Linked DNA regions of Macaca mulatta. The protein of the gene in region 7 interacts with the protein of the main gene of each other region in a pairwise test. Links are inferred from orthologs where the notes say so. Each region holds a gene or a part of one and is shown on either strand. Other genes may lie near its edges. The genes, in order: FUS, KNSTRN, RANBP1, STX18, PSMD4, MPHOSPH6 and NUPR1.

What was found.
Region 1: the proteins of NUPR1 (region 7) and FUS interact in a two-hybrid assay, tested with the Homo sapiens proteins (2 studies listed by BioGRID and IntAct). The link is inferred for Macaca mulatta from reciprocal best matches to the Homo sapiens genes NUPR1 and FUS.
Region 2: the proteins of NUPR1 (region 7) and KNSTRN interact in a two-hybrid assay, tested with the Homo sapiens proteins (2 studies listed by BioGRID and IntAct). The link is inferred for Macaca mulatta from reciprocal best matches to the Homo sapiens genes NUPR1 and KNSTRN.
Region 3: the proteins of NUPR1 (region 7) and RANBP1 interact in a two-hybrid assay, tested with the Homo sapiens proteins (2 studies listed by BioGRID and IntAct). The link is inferred for Macaca mulatta from reciprocal best matches to the Homo sapiens genes NUPR1 and RANBP1.
Region 4: the proteins of NUPR1 (region 7) and STX18 interact in a two-hybrid assay, tested with the Homo sapiens proteins (2 studies listed by BioGRID and IntAct). The link is inferred for Macaca mulatta from reciprocal best matches to the Homo sapiens genes NUPR1 and STX18.
Region 5: the proteins of NUPR1 (region 7) and PSMD4 interact in a two-hybrid assay, tested with the Homo sapiens proteins (2 studies listed by BioGRID and IntAct). The link is inferred for Macaca mulatta from reciprocal best matches to the Homo sapiens genes NUPR1 and PSMD4.
Region 6: the proteins of NUPR1 (region 7) and MPHOSPH6 interact in a two-hybrid assay, tested with the Homo sapiens proteins (2 studies listed by BioGRID and IntAct). The link is inferred for Macaca mulatta from reciprocal best matches to the Homo sapiens genes NUPR1 and MPHOSPH6.

What each region holds. Positions count from the first base shown.
Region 1 is NC_133425.1:29,823,030-29,827,134, reverse strand, and holds the start of FUS (RNA-binding protein FUS), read right to left. Parts: upstream 2,801-4,105; 5' UTR 2,725-2,800; coding exon 2,712-2,724; coding exon of another isoform or gene 2,708-2,711; exon of another isoform or gene 2,322-2,707; intron 553-2,321; coding exon 528-552; intron 438-527; coding exon 268-437; intron 1-267. UniProt on the Homo sapiens protein: DNA/RNA-binding protein that plays a role in various cellular processes such as transcription regulation, RNA splicing, RNA transport, DNA repair and damage response. Binds to ssRNA containing the consensus sequence 5'-AGGUAA-3'.
Region 2 is NC_133412.1:17,693,251-17,697,515, reverse strand, and holds the start of KNSTRN (small kinetochore-associated protein), read right to left. Parts: upstream 2,801-4,265; 5' UTR 2,685-2,800; coding exon 2,476-2,684; intron 2,295-2,475; coding exon 2,200-2,294; intron 1-2,199. UniProt on the Homo sapiens protein: Essential component of the mitotic spindle required for faithful chromosome segregation and progression into anaphase.
Region 3 is NC_133415.1:32,563,616-32,567,684, reverse strand, and holds the start of RANBP1 (ran-specific GTPase-activating protein), read left to right. Parts: upstream 1-1,269; 5' UTR 1,270-1,403; coding exon 1,404-1,418; intron 1,419-1,912; exon of another isoform or gene 1,913-2,054; coding exon of another isoform or gene 2,055-2,075; intron 2,076-2,784; coding exon 2,785-2,921; intron 2,922-4,069. Other genes in the region: TRMT2A (tRNA (uracil-5-)-methyltransferase homolog A), read right to left, coding at 1-388, 663-686. UniProt on the Homo sapiens protein: Plays a role in RAN-dependent nucleocytoplasmic transport. Alleviates the TNPO1-dependent inhibition of RAN GTPase activity and mediates the dissociation of RAN from proteins involved in transport into the nucleus.
Region 4 is NC_133410.1:8,530,425-8,533,924, reverse strand, and holds part of STX18 (syntaxin-18), read right to left. Parts: intron 2,422-3,500; coding exon 2,306-2,421; intron 427-2,305; coding exon 349-426; intron 184-348; coding exon 117-183; intron 1-116. UniProt on the Homo sapiens protein: Syntaxin that may be involved in targeting and fusion of Golgi-derived retrograde transport vesicles with the ER.
Region 5 is NC_133406.1:115,828,943-115,833,130, forward strand, and holds the start of PSMD4 (26S proteasome non-ATPase regulatory subunit 4), read right to left. Parts: upstream 2,801-4,188; 5' UTR 2,763-2,800; coding exon 2,737-2,762; exon of another isoform or gene 1,765-2,736; intron 1-1,764. UniProt on the Homo sapiens protein: Component of the 26S proteasome, a multiprotein complex involved in the ATP-dependent degradation of ubiquitinated proteins.
Region 6 is NC_133425.1:77,533,023-77,537,322, reverse strand, and holds the start of MPHOSPH6 (M-phase phosphoprotein 6), read left to right. Parts: upstream 1-1,500; 5' UTR 1,501-1,510; coding exon 1,511-1,561; intron 1,562-4,300. UniProt on the Homo sapiens protein: RNA-binding protein that associates with the RNA exosome complex. Involved in the 3'-processing of the 7S pre-RNA to the mature 5.8S rRNA and play a role in recruiting the RNA exosome complex to pre-rRNA; this function may include C1D.
Region 7 is NC_133425.1:28,259,732-28,263,062, reverse strand, and holds NUPR1 (nuclear protein 1), read left to right. Parts: upstream 1-1,199; 5' UTR 1,200-1,279; coding exon 1,280-1,391; intron 1,392-1,992; coding exon of another isoform or gene 1,993-2,046; coding exon 2,047-2,183; 3' UTR 2,184-2,196; intron 2,197-2,526; 3' UTR 2,527-2,831; downstream 2,832-3,331. UniProt on the Homo sapiens protein: Transcription regulator that converts stress signals into a program of gene expression that empowers cells with resistance to the stress induced by a change in their microenvironment.

The DNA.
Region 1 (4,105 bases), about 1.6 Mb from region 7:
CAGGAGTTCTAGACCAGCCTATCGAACATGGTGAAACCCCATCTCTACTAAAAATACAAAAATCAGTAGGGCGTGGTAGCAGGTGCCTGTAATCCCAGCTACTCAGGAGGCTGAGGCAGGGGAATTGTTTGAACCCGGGAGGCGGATGTTGCAGTGAGCTGAGATAGCACCATTGCACTCCAGCCTGGGCAACAGGATGAGACTCCGTCTCCCAAAGAAAAAGAAAAAAAAGAAAAGCAATATTCAGAAAGAGCAGGAAGAGGTGACCTGCTGAGAAAGACTCACTGCTCTGGCTCTGGCCGTAAGAAGAATAGCTGCTCTGGCCATAGCCTGAAGTGTCCGTGGACTGGCTGTAACCGCTGTAACTCTGCTGTCCGTAGGGCTGACTGCTCTGCTGGGAATAGCCCTGCCCAGGCTGGGTGGGGTAGGCCCCATAGCTAGATGAAAGGAAAACCAGCGTGATCAGAAAACACAGCTTGACCACCCTTCCCCTCTACAAACTCTGGAAGCCCAAAAACAGCACTCACCTTTGGGTTGCTTGTTGGGTATAATCTGCAAAAAAAAAAAAAATACAATCATATTATCTTCAGCCGCCACTCTGAAACAGTTGAATTAAAGCTAAATTCCTTAACTCAAGCACTGATGAATAAATAGGACCACACAGGCCAGGTGCGGTGGCTCACGCCTATAATCCCAGCACTTTGGGAGGCCGAGGTGGATGGATCACTTGGGGTCAGGAATTCCAACCAACATGAAGCCCCATCGCTAATAAAAATACAAAAAATTAGCCGGGTATGGTGGCGCACGCCTGTAATCCCAGCTATTTGGGAGGCTGAAGCAGAAGAATCGCTTGAACCCGTGAGACAGAGGTTGCAGATCGCGCCACTGCACTCCAGCGTGGGCGACAGAGCGAGACTCCGTCTCAAAAAAAAAAAAAAAAAAAAAAAAAGCATCACGTTTCAATAAAGGGCATAAAATTCCCCCATTGAGACACTGGTTGAGAAGAGTAGCAAACTGGCCTATCAGCCAAGTGTTCTTACAAAAAAGAAAAAGTGAAGAAAATGCAAGTTTCTACAGAGTCCCAGAAGCCTTAACCGTTGGAAAAACCAAGGTCTTGGTGGACAGCCACAACTTTCTGCAAGACCAATTCATGTCAGTGATTGCTCTAAAACATCGCGCATTCGCTTCATCCACTCTATGACAAAGCCATTATTGCCAGGAGTCAAAACAGACTAACTCGCTCCCAAAGTCGTAGAGCTACCAAGTAGCACAGGTTTGAATTCGAGCAGTGTTCAGATTGTGGCCTCTACTCTCTCAGCCCAGACCCACAGAAGAATGTCTCAAAAAAGGCCATTCTTCACTCTTTGACCAATTCCGGAGAAGTAGTGGGCTTTTTAGTGCAAAGCCAGAGAATCAAGAGCCCTTGGACCCCAAATGACAGAGATCATCCAAGTGCTCGCCTTAAGAGGCCAAAGTCAACAGGTACTCGAGTCCCCAGCCGTGGGGCTCCAGATGGTTCTGTTTTCTCATCTACCCTGCCTTCCCCCGGGCGAACCAAAAGCAACGAAAGCCCTTTTGAAACGCCCCACTTTAAATACACGAACAAGATCAACTCATCCTCCCAGCGCAGGAAACGCGGCGCTTCCCCCGCAGGAAAAGGGAAAGGACCAGGAGAGGGTGTGGCCTCGACGGCTGTTATTCTCCGTCCCAATCTCAGAAAAAAGAAATTTAGACCAGGAGCGGAAGCTCACGCCTGTAATCCCGACACTTCGGGAGGCCGAGAAGGGCGGATCACCTGAGGCCAGCAATTCGAGACGGGCCTGACCAACATGGTGAAACCCCGTCTTTACTAAAAAACACAAAGATTAGCCGGGCTGTGGTGGCAGGCGCCTGTAATCCCAACTACTAAGGAGGCTGAGGCAGGAGAATCACTTGAACCCAGGAGGCGGACATTGCAGCAAGCTGAGATCGCACCACTGCACTCCAGCCTGGGCGACAGAGGGAGATCTTGACTCAAAAAAAAAAAAAAAAATGGGGCGGGAAAAACTCTCGGGCCAGGTCACCGAGTCCGTTGGTGGATCCACGACCACCTCCTCCAAACCGTTAAGCCGGAGCGCGGCCCAGATACCGAGCCTCCGCCCCCAGCCGCGTGGCAACCGAGGCGGGAATGGAGCTGTCCCGCCCCTTCGCGAAAGACCAGAGGAACAAGGCTCACACCGGACGCGCGCCGCCAAGTCTTCCGCGAAGGGTCTCGCGACAAAAAGCTGAACCGACACGAGGCGGGGAAGGGGTACCCGCACCGCGAAGGGGGAGGGGCCCGCAGAGCGCGTGCGCACCGCGAGTGCCCGGATGCAGCACTGCGACAAAGCGGGCCTGAGCGCGGGGCCGGGAGTTGGGGGAGGCGAGGCCACGGAAACCGGGCATTTTCCACCCTCACCTGATGCTTCAAGCCCCTAAGAAGCGTCCCTCCCAACGACCACCCCAAGCAAACGGACTGCGAAGAGAAGACTTGCCGCCCCGCGCGCGAGGGCCAGAGGAGCGAAACAAAATGGCGACACCAGCCTCCTCCAGTTACCCCTCTCCGCGGTTTCCCGCCACAGGGGCGCGAAAGAATCCCACACAGGATCGCCACCCCGGTCCCACCGAAAATGAAAAGCCTAGGTGGGAGGCCTCGGCCCGGTACGCCGCCGCCGCCTCGCGCCCTTACCTACCGTTTGAGGCCATGTCGGCGCACGCGCGCACAGCCAAGCAAGCAACAAGATTCCAACAACGCAGAGCACCGACGCCTGGAGGACTGAGCAGCCCCGCCTCCTGCGTCGAAGCTTAAGTAGGTCCCGCCGCCTACGCACCGCGCAGGCGCGCACCAAACGCGGAAGAGCAGGGGGAGGCAGGAAAGCGCTCCGCCCCCTTCCTAGCGTAGGTAGAGGTTCCGAGCATGCAGATGGGAAACGAGTTAACTAGAATCATGCAAATACTATACATAATGATATTTTTGGGGGAAGAACCCCTCTCTCCTCGGCAGGACTAGCCCACGATCTAACTCCACCCCCATGAAGGCACAGTGGTACGGCCTGAGTGCCCGCTGGGGGCGGGGCGGGGCGGGGCCGGGCGGCTGGGGACGAAACTGGAGTCACCGCCGGGAGTCGCGGGGTGGAACCGACATTCCTGTGGCCGGGCCTCTTCGCTGGGCCCCGCTTTCACCCAGGACGGCGAGCTCCTGCCCTCCGCCCTCTTGCCGCTGTATGGGGCGCCTTGTCCCCGCGGCTCCAGCCTCCCTCGTCGTCAGCACACTGGCCCTGCGCCCTGGTGTTGACTTCGTCGTCTTTCGGGGTTGCCTTGCTTTTCGGCCTTTCTGGGGTTCGGGAATTATGACGTTTGACCTGAAAGACAGCAGGGATTTCGGCCGGGACCCCTGAGCGCCGAGCTGGTCCAGCACTGGGCTCTCACCCGGACCCTCGCGGCTTTGCCCCTGGGGAGCCGCGGGGCGGAGCAGTCCAGGCCATCCTTGGGACAAGAGAGGGTTGGCCTCAGATGAAGGGCCCCCCAGCCTTTGCTCAGGGACCTCCTTTTTATTTTTCTGAAGCCCTACCAGGGAACCAGTGGCGATCCCAGAAATAAAACGTGTACAAGGCTTAAGTGGTTTCAAAATGCACAGATAATTTCCTTCTCATCAGTCTTACGAAGGAGGTAAACATATCTCCGTTTTCTACATAAGAAAAGTGAGACTCAGAGACCCAAGTAATTGTGCCTGATTACAGGGCAGCTAAGAGGAGTCGTGATTCGAATCCAGGTCTTGTAACTGCAAAACCTCTTTTTGGTGGCATGAATGCTAGAGTGTTTGGTTGCCTTTCCACTTCCTGTGAGAGCAAAAGCAGAAAGAAAAATTCAAATTAACTTGCAACTTGCACTTTCATCAGCCTTGCCTGGAGAAGGCAATTTGAAACTACTGAACAAAGCAAGACAAAAGACGTTAATTCCTGATACATACGCATGCAGGTTTTCCTTCCCAACTTAACTTTCAGCGGGATTCCGGAAGGTCTTTTGAGGGTTGGACCTTTCCTTCTAGAGAAACAATGAGGGCCATGTCCTGGGCCCCCCCCAGCAA
Region 2 (4,265 bases), on a different chromosome or scaffold from region 7:
CTGAAAGGTGGAGGCTGTAAAAGTGAACATGGAGATGGACACCAGCAGAGAGCAGGGTGGAAGTAAAACACGGCTGAATCCTTGTACCATCTCGTTAAGCAACTCCAAGCACGCTGCACACTCTCCTAAGGCATGACTGAGCTGCTCTGAGTTTTTTTAAATTGTTACTTCGTTCTTTTTCCCAGAATATCTTCCTAACCACTCTAAGACATCTTTGTGTCCCCATCACCTAGAAGAATATTTGGCATATGAACAGGGGTTCAATAACTGCTTGTTGAATAAATCAAACACTTCACAGTTGCATAGGTTGTTTCACAGACCATCTCTAAACCACCTGTCTGGTCCCTTCCTCTTCCATGCTGACTGCCTCTACCACCAGCTCTTTCGTTTACCCTTCGTTAAGTTTAGAGTTTCGCTATTAGGCATTCTAATCTGATCTTCTTGCTAGATAACCAGAGAAATGGCCCTGCCATAACACTCTTCTTCCCCAAAGGTGAGAATTTTCCTTCATCCTTGTGCCAGCTCCCCAACCACACAGTCCATCATTCATGTTCTACAGCAAATTCAAGTAACTTATCTGGAGTTAAAAGCACCCCCACCCTCACACGCAGGCTTTTCTGGACTCATTCTCACTTTGTTCACTGTAAAATGGCCCCTTTAAGCTTGACCTAACTTAAGAGCCATTACAATCAAATCAAATTGAAGAAATGCGGTACAAATGAGGTATTAAAAGGGTTCTTTTTGAGGTGTCTGTCTGAAGTAAAAAGTAACCTTGGAGAAATATCATCTCCTCTCTCAAGTATTAGCAAGTTATAAACAACAAATCTACTCCATGTAAAATGGAATTAACAGTCGATTGATCAAAATTAACACTCTTCATTGACTAGAATTGGTTCCAATAATTCGTATTTGCTAAAACCTAAGGATTGCAATGTAGGAAAAACTTAGTAGGATTTCACAAAGCTGTCTCCTAAAAATGGGAGACACTGGGAGGGGAACTGGATGGCTGGTGTCAAGGAAGGGAAGGAAACTTGTTTATCATTGTATATGGTTTTCCAACTTTTTTTTTTACATGTGCATAAATTACTTATCCAGCCCATGCTCAAAATCAAAACAAAAAACCTGGGAGGCAGCCTAAAAATTTGAAACTGTTCCAGTTACATATGATCATAAAGCTGGGACAGAGATGTAAACCCAAGAGATGAACACTCGCAGCTTGGCTGAGAGAGCTAGTCACTGCCCACTGACTGAGGGCACTGCATCTAAGGGAAAGACACAGCAAGCAGCTGAGACCTGGCTCCAGTTCTTCCAGCAACTCCTAGTCCCCGCTGGTGCCAGGATTACCATTCAGGTGTTCTGTGGCTACACAAGACAACAAACAACCCATTAAGCCTTTGAAGAAAAGCCTATTTACTTCAGAGCTCAATCCTGCCAAGGTTTATGTACCAGCTGTGTGGAATCATCTGGGAAGAGATCATAAATAGCTACTCCACAATCTCCCGCAACAGTTTTCTGATGTCTGAAGCTTATTCTGTACTATAATCTCTAGATTAGGCAGTTTCCCGACTGCAAACCCCATGAGATGACTTTGAACCACAAGCAAAGCAACACAAAGCAGATGGCAAAGCAATTAAAAACTCTATTTTTAATCATGTCTGTCTCTTCGCCCAAGTTTCTCAAATACTTTGCCTAGGTCTAACCCCTCTCTCCCACTTCACTCAACAAACGTGTATTGAGAATGTGGTAATTCTCAATAATTATCTCGAGAAACACGGCGCAGATGTAAAGGTGAACAAAGAACCCTAAGCATTCCACTTCTCAAATGATTCTCCTCTTTCCTCCCTGAAAACAAACCCAATCCCTCAAGATGACCCAAGTCTGGAAATAAGACGGATAACCGGTTAGAAGGGGATTCCTAGCTTAATGGGAATAACATTGTACAATAACCAACAACTTAAATCTAACTGATGAATACAGTACATACGCGGGCAGAAAAATGCAGAGCAGGTCTAAAATCCTACCACATGGCCCTTCCCCTAACTCCCATCATAAACCTACACACCCTGGTTATAGGGCGCTCGCAGGTTTTCAGGGCCGGCGGGACACCCTCCCAGTGCCCACGCCACCCATTGGATCTCCACACTCCCGGGACCATCCCCGGCCGGGCCGCAGTGCCCCGGGCGCGGCGTGGGCACTCACCTGCGGGCTGGCCGCCGCTCAGCGCAGAGGCGGGCTGCAGGCTATACACTGTCTTAACCACACTGGTCATCGTAACGAGGCGGCACGGCTGAACTCTGGAAGGTACAGGATGAATGTTACCCAGCGCTGGACTACTGGGCCCGAGAGTGGTGGGCTTGGGGATAGCGCGACCCGACAGGCCTCGGCTCGGGGTTGGAAAAGAGAAAATCCTCCTTTCCCAGCTCTTTCCGTCCTTCCTCCCATCCAGCCCAGTCCCTCGCCCCGGGAGAGCCGAACCCAGGAGCCCGCCGGTCCTGCCCGCAGTCCTTGTCGCTCTCTTTCAAAAGATGCCCTGAAGCAACTGTCGCGCCGCCTGCCAAGTTGGCCGCCTCGGTTTCAAATGGAAACTTCCGGTAGCTGGGCGGAAGTGGGTGGGAATCGCACTCCGTAGAAAGCCATGTTGTACGGAACATTCTGTTCCCTGGCGGGGGTTCGGGAGCCGCCATGCTGTACGGAAGGTTCGCTCGGAGGCCAGAGGCAGACCTAGCGAAAGGTGTTGGAGCCCCCAGGTCTGGGCGGAGGAGGAGGGTGATGCAATTTGTAGGCTTGAATGGAGCTAATGAGCTACCAGCGTCATATTCCGGGATGGAGACGCAAACGTGGCCACATTAAGGGTCCGTGTCACAATCCTCTTTATTTAGTTTGGGATTGTTAGGGATATTGCCAGGAGCACAGGTTATTTGGATGAAAACTACACATTACAGGAGGAGAGTGGCAGGTGAAGCTTGAAGAAAAGGACCTATGGGCTGAGATACCTGAGGCACCTACCTGAGGTCCTAATTTTAATAGTACTTACCCAGATTTTAAGTAGCGATTCAAAGCTACTCCTAATAAACAGGGTAGTTTGCATCATTAAATGCACTAGTTCATTCATTTCATCCAGCATTTATTGAGCACTTCCTGATTACCCAACAGTGTTCTCAGTGGGTGGGAGGGACTGAGGGAGAGCAAATATCAAGATTGACCTTGGCTCTGCCCTCCTGGAGTTTACGACTTAGGAAACAGACAGTGAACAAATAATCACCTGAATAAATATATATTTACGGATTGTGGTGAAATTGTGAAGAAGGCTGGCCGCAGTGGCTCACAGCTGTAATTTCAGCACTTTGGGAGGTGGAGGCGGGTGGATTGCTTGAGTCCAGGAGTTCAAGAACAGCCTGGGCAACATAGTGAAACCCCATCTCTACAAAAAATACAAAAACTAGCTGGGCGTCGTGGCATGCTCCTGTAGTCCCAGCTACCCTGGAGGCTGAGGTAGGGGGATTGTGTGACCCCCGGGGGGCAGAGGTTGCAGTGAGCTGAGATTGTACCACTGCACTCCACCCTGGGTGACAGAGCATGATCTCAAAAACCAAACCAAAACACACACACACACACACACACACACTCACACACAATGAAGAGAAAGTACAAAATCCTATAAGATAGAAAAGCAGGGAAACTTAGATTATATTGGGGGCTCAGGGAAGACCTCTCTGAGATGATGTTCGATTAAGGAAGGAGGAGAGGGAGTTAATCATTGGGGAAAGGGGAAAATGCAAAGTCCCAAGGCAGAAATGGGTTCTTCCCTAGGCACAGAAAGATAGGAAGAGAGTGGTACAGATAAAACTGGAGAAATAAGAAGTCAAAAGACAAATTTTACAGGCTAAGGTATAGAGATTAGATTTTATCTAAAAGTAATGGAAAGTCACTGAAGCATTATAGCAGGAGAGTGTCATCCAATTTATATTTTATTTTACTGTATTTTATTTTTTTGAGACAGGGTCTCACTCTGTTGCCCAGGCTGGAGTGCAATCATAGTTCACTGCAACCTTGAACTCCTGGGTTCAGGAGATCCTCCCACCTTAGTCTCCTGAGTAGCTAAGACTAAAGGTTAAAGGTGCATGCCACCAGGCCCAGCTACTTTTTGTAGAGATGGGGTCCTGCTATGTTGCCCAGGCTGGTCTTAAACTCCTGGCCTCAAATGATCCTCCCACCTCAGCCTCCCAACAGACATGAGCCACTGTACCTGACTCAATTTATATATA
Region 3 (4,069 bases), on a different chromosome or scaffold from region 7:
GGCGGCCTTTCCAGAGGGCACCATGCAAAACTCGCAGGGCCTTGTCCCTCTCTGCAGCGCTGCGGAATGTCACAAAGGCGCAGGGTGGTTGCCCAAAGAGTTTGGTTTTGTGGGGCTGCAGGCCAAAGCGGCCCAGGAAGCGCCGGACGTCGCTGAAGCTGGCGTGGCGAGGCACGTTCTGCAGCTCCAGTTTGAAGATCTCAGAGGTAAACAAGTCATCCCTGATGTAGCTGTAGAGCCCAGGTTGAGGCCCCGGCCCTGTAGCTGCTCCAGCGCCCTCTTTCTCCACCTCCTCCAGGGCTGCCGGGTCTGCAGGGAGCACCGAGGCTGTAGGGCAGCTCGGGGCACTGCTGCTCTCCTGGCCACAGCTCTCCATGGGCTTTGGGCCCTGTGTGGGGACAGATGGGGTGCTACGGTGAGGACTAGACCCTGGGGCCTGGCCCCCCAGGTTCCCCTATGGCACACCCAAACCTCCGTCGGTGCACTCTGCACTCAACCCTGCCCCTCCCCTCCCCCATTCTACCCTCCCGACCCCATTCCCGTCTCCTTTCCTCCCCCATCGCATCCTCCTCGTCCCCACCTATTCTCTGGCAGGTTTCCTGCCCCACCCCGCCTCCTCCCACCCCATCCCCGTCTCTACCCAGCGTCTCCCCGCACTCTACCTCGTTGTCGAGGTTCTCACTCATCGTTCAGGCGGTTCTCCGCCTAGACCAGGGGTGCCACGGGGGCCGCCTGGTCACCTCGTCCTGGGCCTGTCACAAGGGAAGTGCTCAGAGGGGAAGTGCTCAGAGAGCCAGTGCAACGCCGCGAGGTCGCCGCCAGCCCCGGCTTCGACCCAGATGGGGCGGTACTCGAACCTGCGGTGCTCAGGTCCTGGTCTCAGGCTTCGGGCTGCACCGCCCGCCCGCCAGGGGCCCGCGCCGGCCGCACGCTTCGCCAGCCACTCTTAGTCCGCCAGCGCGTGCCGCGGAGGCCGAGCGTCTCTATGATCCTGACTTCCTGCAACATCATAGCCACGCGCCGGCTCCAACCACTTTAGCCAGCTCTTGGGGCGCGCGTGGCCGGGACGGAAGTGCGCGCAGGGGTCGCCGGGAATGCGCGCTCCTCTGGCTGACGGGCGGGCCGGGCATGCGCCACGGGCGTTTTGGCGGGAAGCGCGGGGCGGGCCGGACAATGAGAGTGTCCGCCGCCTGAGCCAATAAAGCTGTACTGGTTTTGAATCGCGGCGCGTTTCCCGCCGCTGGGGTCAGGGGTCGAGGTTCGGGTCGCGGGGCGGAGGGAAGAGCGGGCGGGCGGGAGGCGCCGGCGCCAGACGCGGAGGGAAGGAGCTACGAGTAGCCGCCCAGAGGCCGCGGAGCCAGCGACGACCGACCCAGCCGAGCCGCCGCCGCCGCCGCGCCCCCATGGCGGCCGCCAAGGTGCGGCCTGGCCCAAGCGGGGACAGGGTGGGCGGGCGGGGCCGGTGGGACCGGGGCCGTTATCAGCGGCCACGTGGGCGGCCCGCGCAGCAGCCACCAACCCCCGCCGGCCTGCAGGTTCGGCCGTCTGCTGGGCCTCGGTGGCGCGGGGTCGGGACGCGTGGGGTTTGGGGGCTCGAGGCCTGCGGAGTTGGGGCTTCTGGGGGTGCAGGCTCTGCAGAGGCCTGGGGGCTGCAGGGCGCCCGCGTGACCTTGGGGTGGGTTGGGGGCGGCCGTCGCCACGCGGGGCGGCCCCAGCCTCCGGGAACTGGTGCGGGCGGCGGGTTTCCTCCGGCTCGGCCCACTTGGGGCTTCCCACTAGTACGGTGCATTTATTCCTTCCGTCGCCCACGCAGCACTTCATTCATTCGGTTCTCACGTGTGGAACCGGCTCTGGCCTCTGTGGCAGAAGCTCGCGTTCCAGCGTGGGGCACAGGTCCTGGACGCGCCGACCCGGGCGGCGGCTTTGTTGGCTGAGGTGTATGGTTGAGTGCGGGCCGCTGCAGAGCCGCAGTGCTGTGGGAAACACAGAAGAGCAGCGAAAAGCTTATGTTTTCTTTTCCAGTTTGAGTCTAGTGGTGAAGTCTTAGGTCTCTTATGGACTTCTGGGTGACCAAGGCACGTGTTCTGGAAGACTCGAACCTAAAATATGATTATTGGTGCTCTCTTATCCTCTAAATTGGGTCAGGATTTCATGACTTTCACCGGTACAATTTATCTAGTTACTAACTTAATTTCTTGAACTGTGAAAAAATTGCTGGCAGAGCTATGAATCCAATGTAAATACTACCAGTCCTGTAGCGACTTTTTTCATTCTAGTAAGCAAGAGCACAACTATTTCCTAATTAGTAAAAGCTGAAATAGTTACATTTTGCTTTAAAGTAACATTTCAAAATCTATTTCGACCCATCATTGTGTCCTTTGATCTTCACACAGCAGGTATCGTCTGCATTTTATGGATGAGGAAGAAACTGATGCTCAAAGAGATGAGGCAGTTACTCCCAGGCCACTCTGCAAGTGCTGGCGGAGTTGTAGGGCCCACCATCAGTCTGTGCACAGATCTGACTGATGTCTGTCAATCTGGGGGAGGGGCCCCAAACTCGGGTGTCTCGCTGTAGGCTCATGCACTGAGTGTATGGAGCTGGGCGTAAATGCAAACCTTTCCTAGCGTGGAAGAGAGGGCCTAATTTCTTGCTTTGGGGTGGAGCCCATCCTTGTAGCTGAAGTCCCTTCACTGTCGGGGGGCAGACCACTGCAGGCACTGGTTGGGCTCTGGCTGTGAGCCGGATCCATAGGCCAGCAGTGTAACCTCTTTGTATTTCCTCAGGACACTCATGAGGACCATGATACTTCCACTGAGAATACAGACGAATCCAACCATGACCCTCAGTTTGAGCCAATAGTTTCTCTTCCTGAGCAAGAAATTAAAACGCTGGAAGAAGATGAAGAGGAACTTTTTAAAATGTAAGTAATCTGATGTCCCAGAAATAGGACCCTTTAAGGTTGAAGTTACAGCTTTTTTGGGTGTTAAGGTCTTGGCCTGACTTTTAATCAGACTGAGGTTCTTTAAAGAAAGGGCCTAAAGTTGCTTGATGACTAATCCCATGTGGAAATTTAACCCATTGCTTTTATGAATCTTCACCAGGTGCCCTTGCTGCCCTGCAGCCAGTTGCATGAAGGGCATCCCATTATTGCTGCTCTGTTCACTGACATGGCGGCCCCACTGCTGTTTCTTGCCACTGGCTTCTGAGGATCCAGGGAGTCCCTTTGGTTGAGCAGGGGATTTTAACTTTTTGCAGCAGAGTTCTTTGGCATTGTGAAGCTTATAAATCCCCCACCCGGTGTTTTTGTTGTTGTTGTTGTTTGAGATGGAGCCTCGCTCTATCGCCTAGGCTGGAGTGCAGTGGCGTGATCTCAGCTCATTGCAAGCTCCGCCTCCCGGGTTCACGCCATTCTCCTGCCTCAGCCTCCCAAGTAGCTGGGACTCCACGCCCGGCTAATTTTTTGTGTTTTTATTAGAGACGGGGTTTCATCTTGTGAGCCAGGATGGTCTCGATCTCCTGACCTTTTGATCTGCCCGCCCCAGCCTCCCAAAGTGCTGGGATTACAGGCGTGAGCCACCTCGCCTGGCCCACCCTTAATACACAACGTAATACTGCAATTACACGTGAAAATAGGTGATGGTTTAGTTATCAAAAACACCTGAAAAGATTCTGTACGTGTGCTTCTTGACACTTTCAGTTAAGAGCTATTTGCAGTGGTGGATACCAGCCTTGTGTCTTGTGACAGCGTCACAGCACTGCAGAGACTGGCCTGTCGCCTACACTCAGGATTGCAACAAACATCATGTTTAGTTACACACCGTAGTGAAATGAGATTGTAGTTTTTCCCTGTTCAAGTTCACGGAACCCCCCACCCTTGAAGTAGCTTTAAGAGTACAGGTTAAGGTTTGGTTGCTCTGGGGTGGGAGAGGGAACCAGAGAGTCATTCCTACTGTGAGTTTCTTCTCTAAGGAAAGGGGCCAGGAGGGATACCTGGGAAAGGAGAGCTGTGTGTCACCCTTTGGTCACAGAGCGTGATGGACATCTCCCTGAAGCCACTGGGTGGCCGTG
Region 4 (3,500 bases), on a different chromosome or scaffold from region 7:
GCATTTTGTGAAGAAGTTCAAATATGGTAAGTTGCATAGGGTAAGTGCTCTACAAACTTTAACTGCTATTATTAGTAGTACTATTATTAAGAAACACCAATGAAAGCAATACTTACAATCTTTTCTTATCCACCACTCTTTTAACTCGGATGGCTCTCTGTTCTGAGTAAAGTTTACAGACTCCTGTTGCAGGGGAAAATACCAGAAGAAAGACTGCTTAAAACAGCTTCTCAGGCAAAGGCATCATTAAATATAATGAGACACTACAGTCTTCAGCTAGCAAAGCTAAATTCTGCATCACATCTATTGTGAAATGCCACATTTGACCTTTAAAAGAAAATGAAATACTTTTTAAGTAATCTTCAATGAAATCCAAAACAGCAGTCCTGTGTTCCTTCACTTGCTGGGAATGTATCTCCTTGTGAGCTGTAACAGAAAAGGACAATGTTCAGGTCTTCGCATTCAATTATCCTAAAGAGCAATTCATCAGCTTCCTCACAACACTTTCTTTATTGAGAGTATTTTTTAAAACACAGCTATAAAACAAGTCTTGTGTCAAGACACTACATTTTTAGAAGAGTAAGATTTATTAGGCTTCACAAGAGTGAAAGATTAAACCTGTAGAAAAACTATAGTCAAATAATTTATGGTTTATCAGAACACTTAAGGATAGTATTTGATGCAGCCACTTCTTGAATGCTGACCCCCATCTGTGTTAACAGCATCCAATGCTCAAGCTGACCTTCAGGGAACATGTTTAAATAATTGAAATCACACACTCCTCCCTGCCTGAACCTGTGCTGCTTTTCAGCCTTTGGTGCCCCATCCTCTCCCCCAGGCCACTCACATTCTGAGGGTCCCTTAGACAATGAGTCAAACTTTCCGTCTCCAGGAAACCTTCTATGACTCCTAGCCACACAGATGCCCTTCTCCTGGGATCCACCACACAGAAATGTGCTAAAAGGCCTTACCAGACCTGAAGTCTGTGCCACTGGTTTTGGTAAGACAGTGACCACTGACTGAGAGATTGACTGCCTACTGTGTGCAGGTGCTCTGCTAGCACTTTACATATGTACTGCTAGTAACTAAAATAGCAATTCCGAGTTTCCTCATTTCACACATGAAGAAATTAAGGTTCAGAGGCAATAAATAGCCCAAGGTTAGATGGTTTCATATGTAAATGTAGGTTTTGTTAATATTCCTGTGTATTTTTTAGGTCTCTCAATGAATATATATGCCCTTAAGGGTAGAGGGCATGATTTCTGTCTTTACTATAGGGCTGCCTAACCCAAGATTCATGTGGGGGACTCAGGAGCTCTGTGAAATTGCATATAGAATTTTGTGTATGTACATTTTTCTGGCAAGAATGCCTATTGCTTCCATCAGAGTCTCCAAGTGGTCCATCAGCATTCTAATAAAAACCTCCCAAACAGAGGTCTGTGTTGTGAGCACAACAGCATCTGGCAGCTTTGAACTCTACTTACTATTTAATGTACTCTGTATCTGCCTAAGCAAATTAAAAAAGAATCAAGAAAGAGGCGTGACTTGGGAAGCCATCTCATTGTCTCAGTGAGAATTAAACATCAATGAAAGTGAGATAATAAGCACCCTAGTGCCAGATATGGTTCTAAGCATGCTGTAAGAATTTAACTTAATTCTCATAACAACCCTAGAGATACATCTCCTAATTGTCTGCATTTCATAGACAAAAAACAAGGCCCAGGGAGACTAAGTGACTTGCAGAGGGCTATATGACTCGGACGGGTGGAGTTGGGGTACCACCTAGGCAGTCCTGGATCCAGAGCCTTCCTAACCTTGAAGGTTTGATAGGAAAGTTTACTTGAATATTACAAGTAGAGAGCTTAAGTACCCCGGGCTGCTGTCAACCCCTATCCCACTAAATGCCACACAGAACAGAGGCACACATAAGCATACACACATACACACCCACACACATACAATTTGCCACACAGAACAGACGCGCACGTGGCGTGCACGTGCGTGCGCGCGCACACACACGCACACGATTTGTCTTCACTGTCCCTGGCCCCTAGGTAAAGTTTTGGTTCTGTTTGGAGAGGTCCTTTCCATCTCCCTGCTCCCATTGGTTTAACTTGAAAGATGCAGCCTTTTCAGTACTTTTAACAGCTTTGGTTAAAACACTGATAAGAAAGAAAAGATTTTAATGTTTTGAAACCTAAATCAACATAAGAAGAGAGAATTTTAACCGGCCACACCATATGAATTCTGTTTAACTACCTGCTATATTCATGGTTGCACGTTTGCATCTTTCAGAGCACTTTACCTTCTGTTCGTAGTTGTTGAATTGCTTCTGAACAGGTCCTCATGAATATCTGGGCATCCTGGTCTATCTGGTCTCGTTCTGTGTCTGTCATCCTCCCATATTCAGACATGGTATGGCTAAAAAAAGACAGCAAAGGAAAGGGCAGCAGCAAATGATAACATAATATAGTCTGAGTGGGATGGGAAGAGAAGAAAAGGCCTCCCTCATCAAGTGACATTTAAGCTGAGACTTGAAGGATGAGAAGGAACAGGCCAGGTGAAAAGGTGAGAGAACCATCTAGATAGATAGATAGTAGAACTAACACATATGAAGGGTGTGTGGTAGAAAACCCTCCGGAATAGACCCAACTGACGTAAGCCAGATGGGGAAAGGGAGAGAGAGAAGGAGCGTGGAGTGAGGGCTGCAGCATAAGCTGGGCTATGAAGAATGTAGGCTCTGCTTTGAGAGCAATGGGGCAGCTACTGAGGGGTCTCACACCACACAATGACCGAATCAGAGGGTGGAGGGTGTTCCCGAAACATTTCAGGCACACTCCCACCTCAGGACCTTTCCATGTGTTGGTTGTCTCCTCCTCTGGAATGTTCTTTCCCCAGATAGCTGCATCAATGGATCCCTTACTTCTTTTAGGTGTTTACTCCACGTTGCCCTCTGAATGAGGCCTTCCCTAATCCTTCTTTACAAACTGTCCCTTCCCTGACATCTTCTATCCCACTTCCCTTCTTCCTTCCCCACAAAGATACTTATCCCACTCTAACATTCCATATATTTTGCGTAATCATTTCTTTTCTTGCCTGTCTCTCCCCCTTGTAAAAATGTAAGTTCCACAAACGCAAGGACTTCTGTTTGTTCACTGCTGTATCCCCATCATCAAGAGCAATGCCTAGCATTTTTAGTAGGCTGATCAATTAATAAATCAGTAATCAAATACTTTTGAATGAACTGAACAAATGAATGAGTTGGAGAATGTGCTTGATACACAGCTACGATTGTGCTGTCTAGTAAGTTCCTCCTGAACCAATTTTTTCCCCCACCTCAAGACGGGTAGGCATGCTGTCCCAAAGCCTTCTCTAGGAAACTTCAGGCACAAACAAACAGGGAATACATCCATCCTGAGGACAGGCCCTTCTAAAAAAGAAAGGGGTGAGATGAGCACAGAGTCCTCACTCCCAATCACCTGATAAGCATCCCCTCCTCC
Region 5 (4,188 bases), on a different chromosome or scaffold from region 7:
CAAGACTCTGTCTTATAAATAAACAAACAAACAAACAAACAAACAAGCCATACTGCCCAAAGCAATTTACAGATTCACTGCTACTCCTATCAAACTACCAAGGACATTCTTCAAAGAACTAGGAAAAAACTATTTGAAAATTCATATGGAACCAACAAAGAGCCGGAAAAGTCAAGGCAATCCTAAGCTAAAAGAACAAAGCTGGAGGCAACTTTACCCAACTTCAAACTACTACTACAGGACTACAATAACCAAAACCACACGGTATTGGTACAAAAACAGGCACAGAAACCAATGGGACAGAATAGAGAGTCTAGAAATAAGGCTGCACACCTATGACCATCTGCTCTTGGACAAAACTGACAAAAGCAGTGAGGAGAAAGAGTCCCTATTCAATAACTGGTGCTGGCATAACTGGCTAGCCATATGCAGAAGATTGAAGATGGACCCCTTTCTTAAACCATACACAAAAATTAACTGAAGACGGATTAAAGACTTACTGTAAAACTCAAAACTATAAAAATCCTGGAAGATGGGCTGGGCACAGTAGCTCACACCTGTAATCCTAGCACTTTGGGAGGCTGAGGCAGGTGGATCACCTGAGGTCAGGAGTTTGAGACCAGCCTGACCAACATGGAGAAACCCTGTCTCTACTAAAAACACAAAATTAGCTAGGTATGGTGGCACATGCCTGTAATCCCAGCTACTCGGGAGGCTAAGGCAGGAGAATCGCTTGAACCCGGGAGGTGGAGGTTGCGGTGAGCTGAAGGTTGCAGTGAGCCAAGATTGTGCCATTGTACTCCAGCCTGGGCAGTAAGAACAACAACAACAAAAAAAAGTGGGCAAAGGAGCCAGGCGTGGTGGCTCAACACCTGTATTCCCTGAAGTTTGGGAGGCTGAGTCGGGTGGATCATCTGAGCTCGAGTTTGAAACCAGCCTGGCCAACATGATGAAATCCCGTCTCTACTAAAAATACAAAAAATTAGCTGGGCATGGTGGTGGACACCTGTAATTCCAGTTACTCAGGAGGCTGAGGCAGGAGAATCACTTGAACCCAGGAGGCGGAGGTTGCAGTGAGCTGAGATGGCACCACTGCACTCAATCTGGGCAAGAAGGGCAAAACTCCATCTCAAAAAGAAAAAAAAAAGTGGGCAAAGGACATGAACAGATATCAGATACTTTATTTTTATTTATTTATGTATTTATTTGAGAGGGAGTCTCACTCAGTCGCCCAGGCTGGAGTGCAGTGGCACCATCTCGGCTCACTGCAACCTCCACCTCTGGGGTTCAAACGATTCTCCCACCTCAGCCTCCGAAGTAGCTGGGACTGCAGGCGCCCACCACCGCGCCTGGCTAAATTTTGTATTTTTAGTAGAAACAGTGTTTCACCATGTTGGCCAGGCTAGTCAGGAACTCCTGACCTCAGGTGATACACCCACTTCGGCCTTCCAAAGTGCTGGGATTACAGAACTGAGCCACCGCGCCTGGCCACTTTTCAAAAGAAGACATACTATACGGCCAACAAGCATATGAAAAAGACCTCAGTATCACTGATCATTAGAGAAATGCAAATAAATCAAAACCACAATGAGATACCACCTAACACCAGTCAGAATGGCTATCCTAAAAAGTCAAAAAAGAAGCTGGCAAGGTTGCGAGAAAAGAGAACACTGGTATACCGTTGGTGCAAGTGTAAATTAGTTCAATCATTGAGAATCACTTGAACCCAAGAGGCGGAGGCTGCAGTGAGCCGGATTGGGCCACTGCACTCCAGTTCGGGCGACAGAGCGAGACCCTCTCAAAAAAAAATTATTCATCGTTTATCTGAAATTCAAATTTCACTGGGCATCCTGTATGTTACCTGGCAACGCTATGCTCCCCCAAAAAACTAAAAAGACGAAATCTCATAGGTGTCTGTCTCACCCAATTGGTGATTTGTGTTCGTCAACTATTCTGTATTACATTCAATGATTACAGGTAGAAGGAACTCTTGCAATCCTGCAAAAATTTATGTCCTCCCCATCTAATGTGACTCCTAATAGGTACTCAGCCCAAGCCTGAGACTGGCGAAGACAGCTACCTCACCGGATAAAGCCTTTGTGTCAGACAGCCCTGGGTTTAAATCTTGACTCCACCACTTAACTAGCTGTGTGATTTTGGACAAATCACTCAAAATCGCTGAGACTCGGTATCCTGAACCGTAAAACGGAGAGATAATTTACCTTAAGGTGTGGTTGTGAGGTTTAAGTGAGATAAACAAAATGACTGAGACATAAAAAGCAATCTGTAAATGGTACCTTTGAAGATGACACAGGGAAAGGTAATGAAGTTAGAGACGAGGGAATGGGGAGAGGAAGGGATTAATAATCTATTTTTCTAATAGACATTATTTTGCGAAGAAAGGAGGGCAGAAAACTATTACGATGAGTCCGAGAAGCAGAACTGTGGCTAAGGACAGACCCGGGCTGCTCTAGAGAAGACGGCGCTAGAACAGAGAAAGGCAGCAGGAATGACCGGTCAATGACCGTCCCCCTGGGGGTGAGAGGGGTAACCAGGGACTGTCTGCCACTCCACGGCCCCGGGATGACTCAGGGACTCCAGCGGGCTCCTAACCTCCGGGCCCAGGGCCGCCTCTCGCCCATGAGCTCCCGGCCCCCACCCCAGGCCCGCCCTGCCTTGGCGCCACACGCGCCCGGGACCCAGCTGTGCCCCTCCTGCCCCGAGGTAGCTCCTCACCACACCATAGTGCTTTCCAACACCATCTTGCCACCTTCCTCCCTCCCGACCGGTTCTCCAGGACGGCCTAACAACAACTCCTCCAATTGGCCCATCGCTCTTCACCAATCACAGACCTCGGCTTGGCCAGCAGCTTCCGCCTCCGTCCCCCGTGTTGCGTTCTGGGAGTTGTAGGCGCCGCCAAACAAATGGGCTTCTTGTGGGTAGTTGAAGGGAATCGCGGTAACACAACAGGATCTAGCCTCTACTTTCCCTGCCATTGCAGTTCCCAGTTGGGGTTTCCCGCTGGCCGGATCTCAGAGGAGCTATGGAGGAACCTTTGAAAGTGCTGTGTCGGTTCCAGCTTCGTCATTTTAAAAAAAAGTGTCGGGATCGGCCGAGCGCGGTGGCTCACGCCTGTTATTCTAGCACTTTGGGAGGCCAAGGCGGGCGGATCACGAAGTCAGGAGTTCGAGACCAGCCTGACCAGCATGGTGAAACCCTGTATCTACTAAAAATACAAAAAATTAGCCGGGCATGGTGGCGCACGCCTGTAATCCCAGCTACTCGGGAGGCTGAGGCAGGAGAATTACTTGAACCCGGGAGACGGAGATTGCAATGAGCCGAGATTGCACCACTGCACTCAAGCGTGGGCAACAGAGTGAGACCCCATCTTAAAAAAAAAAAAAAAAAAAACTAGCCAGGCATAGTGGCGGGCGCCTGTAATCCCAGCTACTCTGGAGGCTGAGGAAGGAGAATCGCTTGAACCCGGGAGGCAGAGATTGCAGTGAGCACAGATCACGCCACTGCATTCCAACCTGGGGGACAGAGTGAGACTCCGTCTCAAAAAAAAAAAAAAAAAGTAGAGATCACTAATGACTTTCTACAGCCTTCAGTTCCCTGTAGAATTTTAATTCAACAAGCCCTTATACCTTTGAATTGAATTTATTTGTATATTTATCTCCTCCCCCATTTAACTAAGGGTAGGCAACGTGTCTTTTTTTTTTTTTTGAGATGAAGGAGTCTCACTCTGTCACCCAGGCTAGAGTGCAGTGTCTCGATCTAGGCTCACTGCAACCTCTGCCTCCTGGGTTCCAGCGATTCTCCCGCCTCAGCCTCCCAGGTAGCTGGGACTACAGGGGCGTGACACCATGACCGGCTAATTTTGTATTTTTAGTAGAGACAGGGTTTCACCATGTTGGCCAGGCTGGTTTCGATCTCTTGACGTCAGTTGATCCACCCGCCTCAGCTTCCCAAAGTGCTGGGATTACAGGCGTGAGCCACCACACCTGGCCAGCAATGTGTCTTAATCTTTACAATTCCCTAAGCCCAGTAGAGAGCCCAGAAAAGATTTGACAACTCAATTATATTAACTAATCTCCCAAAGAACAAACCACTAAACCATTTTGGTTTGTTAATCAAAAATTACATTTAAGGCCTGATGCAATGGCTTAGGTTTTATAATCCCAGCGT
Region 6 (4,300 bases), about 49 Mb from region 7:
TTACTCTAGGGGTCACAACACTGTTTCCTCTATTTCACGGCAGTCACCACTTACTTATGTCCAGAATATCAGCTTCAGGAAAGATGAGGATAGGTGTTTTTACACGCTATTATACCCCGGCATCTCACACACAGTCACAAGTGAATAAGATTCCGTAGCCACTTAGTACATTACAATGATTTTATTTACTCCTGGGAAAACCTCAAGGGCTTTTAACATCCAAATCGGTGTTTGAATTTCAGCTCTAACATGGATTAGCTGTGTGAATTCCACCAAGTCCCTTACCCGCTCTGTGTCTCAGAATTCCTAACAACACGATGACAATACCTTCTTTCCGGTTCTTAGGGAGATTAAGCGAACTAATTACCCATAAGGTGACCAGGTCAAGAATCTGACATAAAATCTATGCTATCAGCTGAAATGCTATTAGCTTGAGGGTGTTCCAAAGCGTCGGACCTGGGAATGATTTTTGAAAACGTGTTTAGTTGGTACCCAGAGCATTAAACACCAGGGTATGAATGCCACTCTATTTTCAGTGGTTTTTAAAATTCTTTTTTGTTTTGTTTTTGAAACAAAGGCTTGCTCTATAGCCCAAGGTGGTGTCCAGTGGTGGGATCTCAGCTCACTGCAGCCTCGACCTCCCGGGTTCCAGTGATTCTCCAGCCTCAGCCTCCCAAGTAATGGAGACCACAGGTCCGTGCCACCACACCCACCTATTTTTTTTTTTTTTTGGTAGAGATAGGGTCTCACTATGTTGCCCAGGCTGGTCTTTTCAATTCTTTAGATCAAAACCAAGCCTTCTTCTCATTCAGGTGTCTTTGGCACCCATCCCTGCCTCCATCCCTTGCAGTTTCTTCAGATTCTTCTGTTTAGCAGGGATCACTCGGCCAGACACGCACCGGCAGCAGCCCGGGGATGAAGCCAGCCCGCCTGGGGTGGCCCCCGCCACGCTCCCCGGGACTCAGGGCTGCTGTAAGGAAAGCAGCAACTCGTAGGGTCCTGGTGAAGAGCAAACGACCTGGCCCCTGCACAGGGACCCAGAACACAGGAAGCCCGCCATCCACGTTAGGAAAACAATACACGTGGGTAACCAGACCCAGGCGGGTGGCACGCGTGACGCAAACCTGTGAGGCTGGCGAGGACTACTGAGTCTGAAGGGAGTCTCTGAGGAAGGGAGTCCCTGAGCGAGGATGGGTCCCCGAGGGGGCCAGGCCGACGTCCCGGGAAGGCGGCCCCCGGCTCGGGGAAGCCAGGCTCTGGGTCCTCCTCTGACTTTGGCCTTTTTGGGATCTGCCGCGCTCATCCCCGCGCCACCGCGCCGCGCGCTTACCCCAGCCTCTCAGTCACCAGAGCGCCCGCTGAGTGGCCGCGCCGGCGCGCGACACGCAGCGGCGGGGCCGCGGGGCGGAGCGGGGCGGTGCGCTTTACGAGAGCGACGCAGCTGCGCACGCGGCTCCGCGCATGTGCAGTGAGGCTCGCGGCCGGAGTGCGGCGCTGGGCGGAAGCCACCATGGCGGCCGAGCGGAAGACAAAGTTGTCCAAGAATCTGCTGCGCATGAAGGTGCGGGGACACTGAGAGAGCCATGCCGGGCGATAGGGGCACCCGATCGTTCCGACCTGGCCAGGGCCGAGGCGGCGGGCGAACGAGGGACACCAGAGGGGCCTCAGAGGGCTTCCAGCTCTCGTGCTCATTCATTCACTTAGCGCCTGCTCTGCACTGTTTACTGGGAACCGGGTTACGAATTAGGCCGACTCTCAGGAGGCCCACGGGTGGATGGGAGCTCGCATACACAGGAGCAAGCAGTCAGGGTACAGCTTACCAAGTGCAGTGAGGGTAGAAGCGCCGGAGCCCTGGGAACTCACCCAGCTTCTCGCGGGGTAGTGGTCCCTTTAGGTTCCTGGGAGGGTGGGAGGCACAGCGTCCTAAACTAGGAGAAACCTGAGTTCAGAAGTCCACGAGGCAAGAAAGAAAAAGAAAACCATGGAGATTTCCAAGAATGAGAGGTAATTCAGTATGTCTGGAAGGCAAGTACTAAGAAATGGGGTTGCAGAGTAGGCAGTGGTCACAACGTGCAGGAAATTTGAGGCCAGATTAAGGATATTTTCCTTTATTTTGTGAGCAATGGAAAGCTATTGACACGGGGAACAGTATAAAAAAATAGCAACTATTTATAGTACTAGACAATGTTTTAAGGGGTTTGCGTATATTAACCTGTGCAATTCACATAATGACACTTTGAGGTGACTACAGGCAATAACTCTCTTTTTACAGTTAAGGCAACTGAAACAGAAATAAGTAACTTACTCAAAGTCGCACAGCTAATAAGTAGTGTAGACAGGACGGGAACTCAGGCAGTCTTGCTCCAGAACCCTGGCTCTGTGTTACTTACTCTGTGATGCCTGTCACTGAGCACTACTTATAGAGGGTAGCAAACTGTTACATGTCATGTTTAAAGAGGTCGAATTTCCAAAAGAAGGAAGGAAGCGTTCATAATGTTTTGAAAGATTGGAGAGAGAGGCCATTCGCAGTGGTTCATGCCTGTAATCTCAGCACTTTGAGAGGCTGAGGTAGACAAATCGCTTAAGCCCAGGTGTTTTAAGACCAGCCTGGGCAACATGGTGAAACCTCATCTCTACAAAAGATACAAAATATTCGTTGGGCCTTGTGGCACGCACCTGTAGTCCCAGCTATTTGGGAGGCTGAAGTGGGAGGATCACTTGAGCCTGGGAGATCGAGGCTGCAGAGAGCTGAGATGGTGCCACTGCACTCCAGCCTGGGTGACAGAGGGAGACCCTGTCTCAAAAAAAAAAGAGAGTAAACATTACATGGGCAAGATTTGAATGGAGTTGAGCTAGGATGGAATTAGGAATGAATGGGTGAATGAGGATGCAGGACAAATTACATCTAACTTAGAGTTTGTCAAGCACTTTCATGCATATTAGGAAAATTTGAATCTTTACTGAACAGAGTTTGCTTTTGATTTTATGATTTGTAATAACATTAATTTCAGAGAAGTGGAGTGAACTGGCCAAGCAGATATTGAAAAGATTTTAGCAGTTGTTTTAGCTCTTGGAATAAGCCAGATGATGTACTGGGTGACTCAGGCTCAAACTAAATATCTGAGTTGCAACTAAGAAGGAAGAAATTAACTTAAAACAAGTGTCCACTCCCACCAAATGGGGAGACGCAACTGGACATTGGAAGCAAAGGAGAAGGAAAAAGATCACCCAGATTCTGTATTTGGTTTAGCAGTTTTGGTCATTGATGAGAAAAAACTTACTGGCAAGATAGCAGGAGACACTATCTATACTGATAGAAAAGAGTATACTGTGAGAAGGCATGGAACAGCTGCACTTAGGGTGCCTTAACCAGAGCTAAGTCCTATATAACATGGGTCCCCAACCACTAGGCCACGGAGCAGCACCAGTCCATGACCTGTTAGGAACGGGCTGCTCAACAGGAGGCGAGCAGCAGGCAGCAAGCGAGTGAAGCTTCATCTATATTTACAGCTGCTCCCCATAGCTTGCATTACCACCTGAGCTCCGCCTCCTGCCAGATCAGTGGCAGAATCCTAGATTCTCCTAGGATCAAAAACCCTACCGTGAACTGCACCTATGAAGGATCTACCTTGAGCTCTACTTATGAGAATCTAATACCTGATGATCTGTCGTTGTCTCCCATCACACACAGATGAGACTGTCTAGTTTCAGGAAAACAAGCTCAGGGCTTCCACTGATTCTACATTATGGTGAGTTGTATAATTATTTCGTTACATATTATAATAATAGAAACAAAGTGCGCAATAAATGTAATGCACTTGAATCATCCCTAAACCATCTACCCCTCCCCTCTCCACCACCCATGGAAAAATTGTCTTCCAGGAAACCCATCCCTGGGGACCACTTTTTAGGGCAAGTATGAGAGGGTTGAGGATTTAATCCTGACTCACTTGAAGGCCTTTGACTTGGTCAGCCATTGCAGGATGATCCCGATGGGAAGCAGAAAAAGAAAGATGTGGATGGAAGGTCTTCCAGTATGGAATGGTTGTAGAAAGGGTGCTTATTTGTGATTTTAGTACTGTTAGACTTTTAGAACAGGGCTTGGCAAGCTTTCTGTAAAAGACCATATAATAAATATTTTGGGCTTATGAGCCAGACAGTCTCTGTTACAACTACTCAGCTCTGCCAGTGTTGTTTGGGACAGGATGACCATGGCTGTATCAACAACAACGGACATCTAGCCTGAGGACCATATTGTGCTGTTGCCTGCTGTGAGTCCCCACTGGTTTTGGAGTGTGTT
Region 7 (3,331 bases):
CTGGGACTACAGGCGTGAGCCACTGCGCTTGACCTCATTATGTCTTCTGCCTCAGTATAATCCATATTTTGAAATACATATTTTGAAATACATAATATTTTATAATAATTTGTTTTTGAGACAGGGTCTCTCTCTGTCACCAGGCACTGTGGCAAGTTTCTTGCAAACATTATCTCATTTGATCCTCTCCCCAACTCTAGGAAGAAGATACAATTATTATCATCCTTGTTTTACAGAATTGGAAACCAAGGCACAGAGAGGTAAAGGGACCCACCTAAGGTCACACGGAAAGTGGTGGGTCAGGGGATTGAACCGAGGGCATCTGGCTCCAGACCCTGAACTCTCCAACCCTCTGCCGCCCTCCTCCTAGGTGAGGGAGATTACATTACTGGGGACCCTGTTTCAGGATATGAAGGGGTTTTCCAAGATGTTTCTCATAGAAAAAAAAAAAAAGGGTGTGGCTAATGCCCATAATCCCAGCACTTTGGGAGGCTGAGGCAGGCAGATCACTTGAGATCAGGAGTTCGAGACCAGCCTGGCCAACATGGTGAAACCCCATCTCTACTAAAAATACAAAAATTAGCCAGGCGTGGTGGCAGGGGCCTATAATCCCAGCTACTGGGGAGGCTGAGCCAGGAGAATTGCTTAAACCCAGGAGGAGGAGATTGCAGTGAGCCGAGATCATACCACTGCACTCCAGACAGGCGACAGAGACTCCATCTCAAAAAAAAAAAAAAGAAAAAAACAAGATGTTGAGTGTGACTGGGTGGAAGCCGCTGACTTGTCCCTGGCACAAGTGTGCTGATATCCCCTCCCCCTCCTTCCTCACATCCTGCATCTCAGCGAGAATTGGCGTGCTGGGGTTAGCTATGTGGCCATCACCCCAGGCCCAGGTGAAGCCCTCGATCAGGTGAGGCCATGATCCCAAGGAGTGTTTAAGCTCAGATCCTGCCTCTTCCCTGCTTTCTGCCGAGAAGCGGGACCTCCTCTGTGGAAAATATCCAGCTGGGCGAGCCTGGGAGGCAGGAGGTGAGTGGGGCCGGACTCAGGGACCAACTCTTCCCGTCTCATGACTGTGTTTACTGGGCTGGATTTTGAGAAGGGGCCAGATTGCATCAGACAGGGCCTGATGGGCTGGAGCCAGACTGTGGTCTGAGGAGGAGACACAGCCTTATAAGCTGAGGGAGTGGACTGGGAGTGGAGAGGCACGGGGCCAGGAAAGCAGAGAAAGACAAAGCGTTAGGAGAAGAAGACAGGCAGGGAGGACAAGCCGGGCACGATGGCCACCTTCCCACCAGCAACCAGCGCCCCCCAGCAGCCCCGAGGCCCAGAGGACGAGGACCCCAGCCTGGATGAATCTGACCTCTACAGCCTGGCCCATTCCTACCTGGGTAAGGCCCACTCGGCCATCTCCACGGTCCTTCCTCCTCTCCCGAAATCAGGACCCCTCCATAGACTTCCCACCCTCTCCTTTCCTCTCCTCTCCTTTCCTTTCCTCTTCGTTTCTTTCTTTCTTTCTTTTTTTTTTTTTTTTTTGAGAGAGTCACTCTGTCACCCAGGCTGGAGTGCAGCTGTGTGATCACAACTCACCGCAGCCCCAAACTCCTGGGCTCGAGTGATCCTCCTGCTTCAGTCTCCCGAGTAGCTGGAACTTCAGGTGTGCACCACCTGTAGTGGTGAGGTGGGGTCTCACTATGTTGCCCAGGCTGATGTCAAATTCCTGGGCTCAAGCAGTTCTCCTGTCTTGGCCTCCTAAAGCACTGAGATTACAGGAGTGAGCCACCCTGCCCAGCCCACTCACCGTTTTCTAGCCAACGTGTTCCTTGGACCCTCACGTCACCCCTGTCTAGTCCCTTATCCCAAGAGTGCTGTGTTACTCAGCCTGGGACCTCACACACATCTGGGGTCCCACATTCCACAGAGGGGAAGCAGCAGAATTCCCCCTGCTCTTCCCATCCCCGCAACTCCAACCCCCTGCCTCTCCTCTGACAGGGCGTCTCATCGTGCCTTTGCCCACTTCACCTCTGCCTCCTGCCTTGGTTACAGGAGGTGGAGGCCGGAAAGGTCGCACCAAGAGAGAAGCTGCTGCCAACACCAACCGCCCCAGCCCTGGCGGGCACGAGAGGAAACTGGTGACCAAGCTGCAGAATTCAGAGAGGAAGAAGCGAGGGGCACGACGCTGAGACAGAGCTGGAGGTAAGGAGTCGGGGGGCCCAGAGAGCTCAAGGTGGCGCCTCTGCCATGAAGGACAGCCGGAAGGTGCGCGGTTGGGTGGGGAGGAGGGATCAGACAACTGTTATCTCAATGCAGAATAAAATGAGACACACGTTTGGCTGTTTTCTAGCGGCCAGAGCAAAGGGGAACACAGAACCTTTCCAATTGGAGGGAAATTTGACTTACAGAGACAGAAACTGAGGCTGGAGAGGGTGGGTCCTTCCCTGTAGTCACAAATCAAGTAAGTGGGAGAGGCAGAATTAGAACCCAGATCTCTGTCCCTTTCATCACCTGCTTTTCCTCGCCCCCTAGATGAGGCCGGACCATGGACACTACACCCAGCAATGGAGACAGGACTGCGGAGGAAGGAAGAACCAAGACAGGATCCAGGCCAGCTTGCCACACCCCCCACCCCTGGGACTTATCCCCGCTGACTGAGTCTCTGAGGGGCTACCAGGAAAGCACCTCCAACCCCAGCAAAAGTGCAAGATGGGGAGTGAGAGGAAGGGAATGGAGAGGCAGAGCCAGGAAGATACCCCCAGAAAAGAAAGCTACAGAAGAAGCTGGGGCTCCTCTAGGGCAGCAGCACCAATAAATAGACGCGCACGGCAGCCACAGCTTGGGTGTGTTTTCATCCTTGCTCTTTCTGTGTTTTTGTTCGGGCACGTGTGTGCCTGCCTGTGCCTGCACATGCATGAGCCCGGGAGAGCATCTTTGGTGTGTATTAGTGTTTGGTATATGTATCTGGGGCAGGGAGTATTCCTGCTCTTACAGGGGTCTACGCTGTGAATGTGGCTTTTGGTTCGTTTGTTTTTGCTTGCATATATTTTAGTGCATACATTTTTCTGTGGGCTCCTACGTAGTGGAAAACAATTTCTTCTGCTTTTTTGCGATACTGCCCATGAAACACGGCCCTCCCCAGCGCCTGTTTTTGTTGATTATGTCCTGTTCATAGACGGGAATGCTACTTATGGATGCCATCTAAAAGATGGAGAAAACTGAGATTTAAAATATTAAAGGCCAGGGCCAGGCGCAGTGGCTCATGCCTGTAATCTCAACACTTTGGGAGGCTGAGGCAGGCGGATCACAAGGTCAGGAGTTTGAGACTAGCCTGACC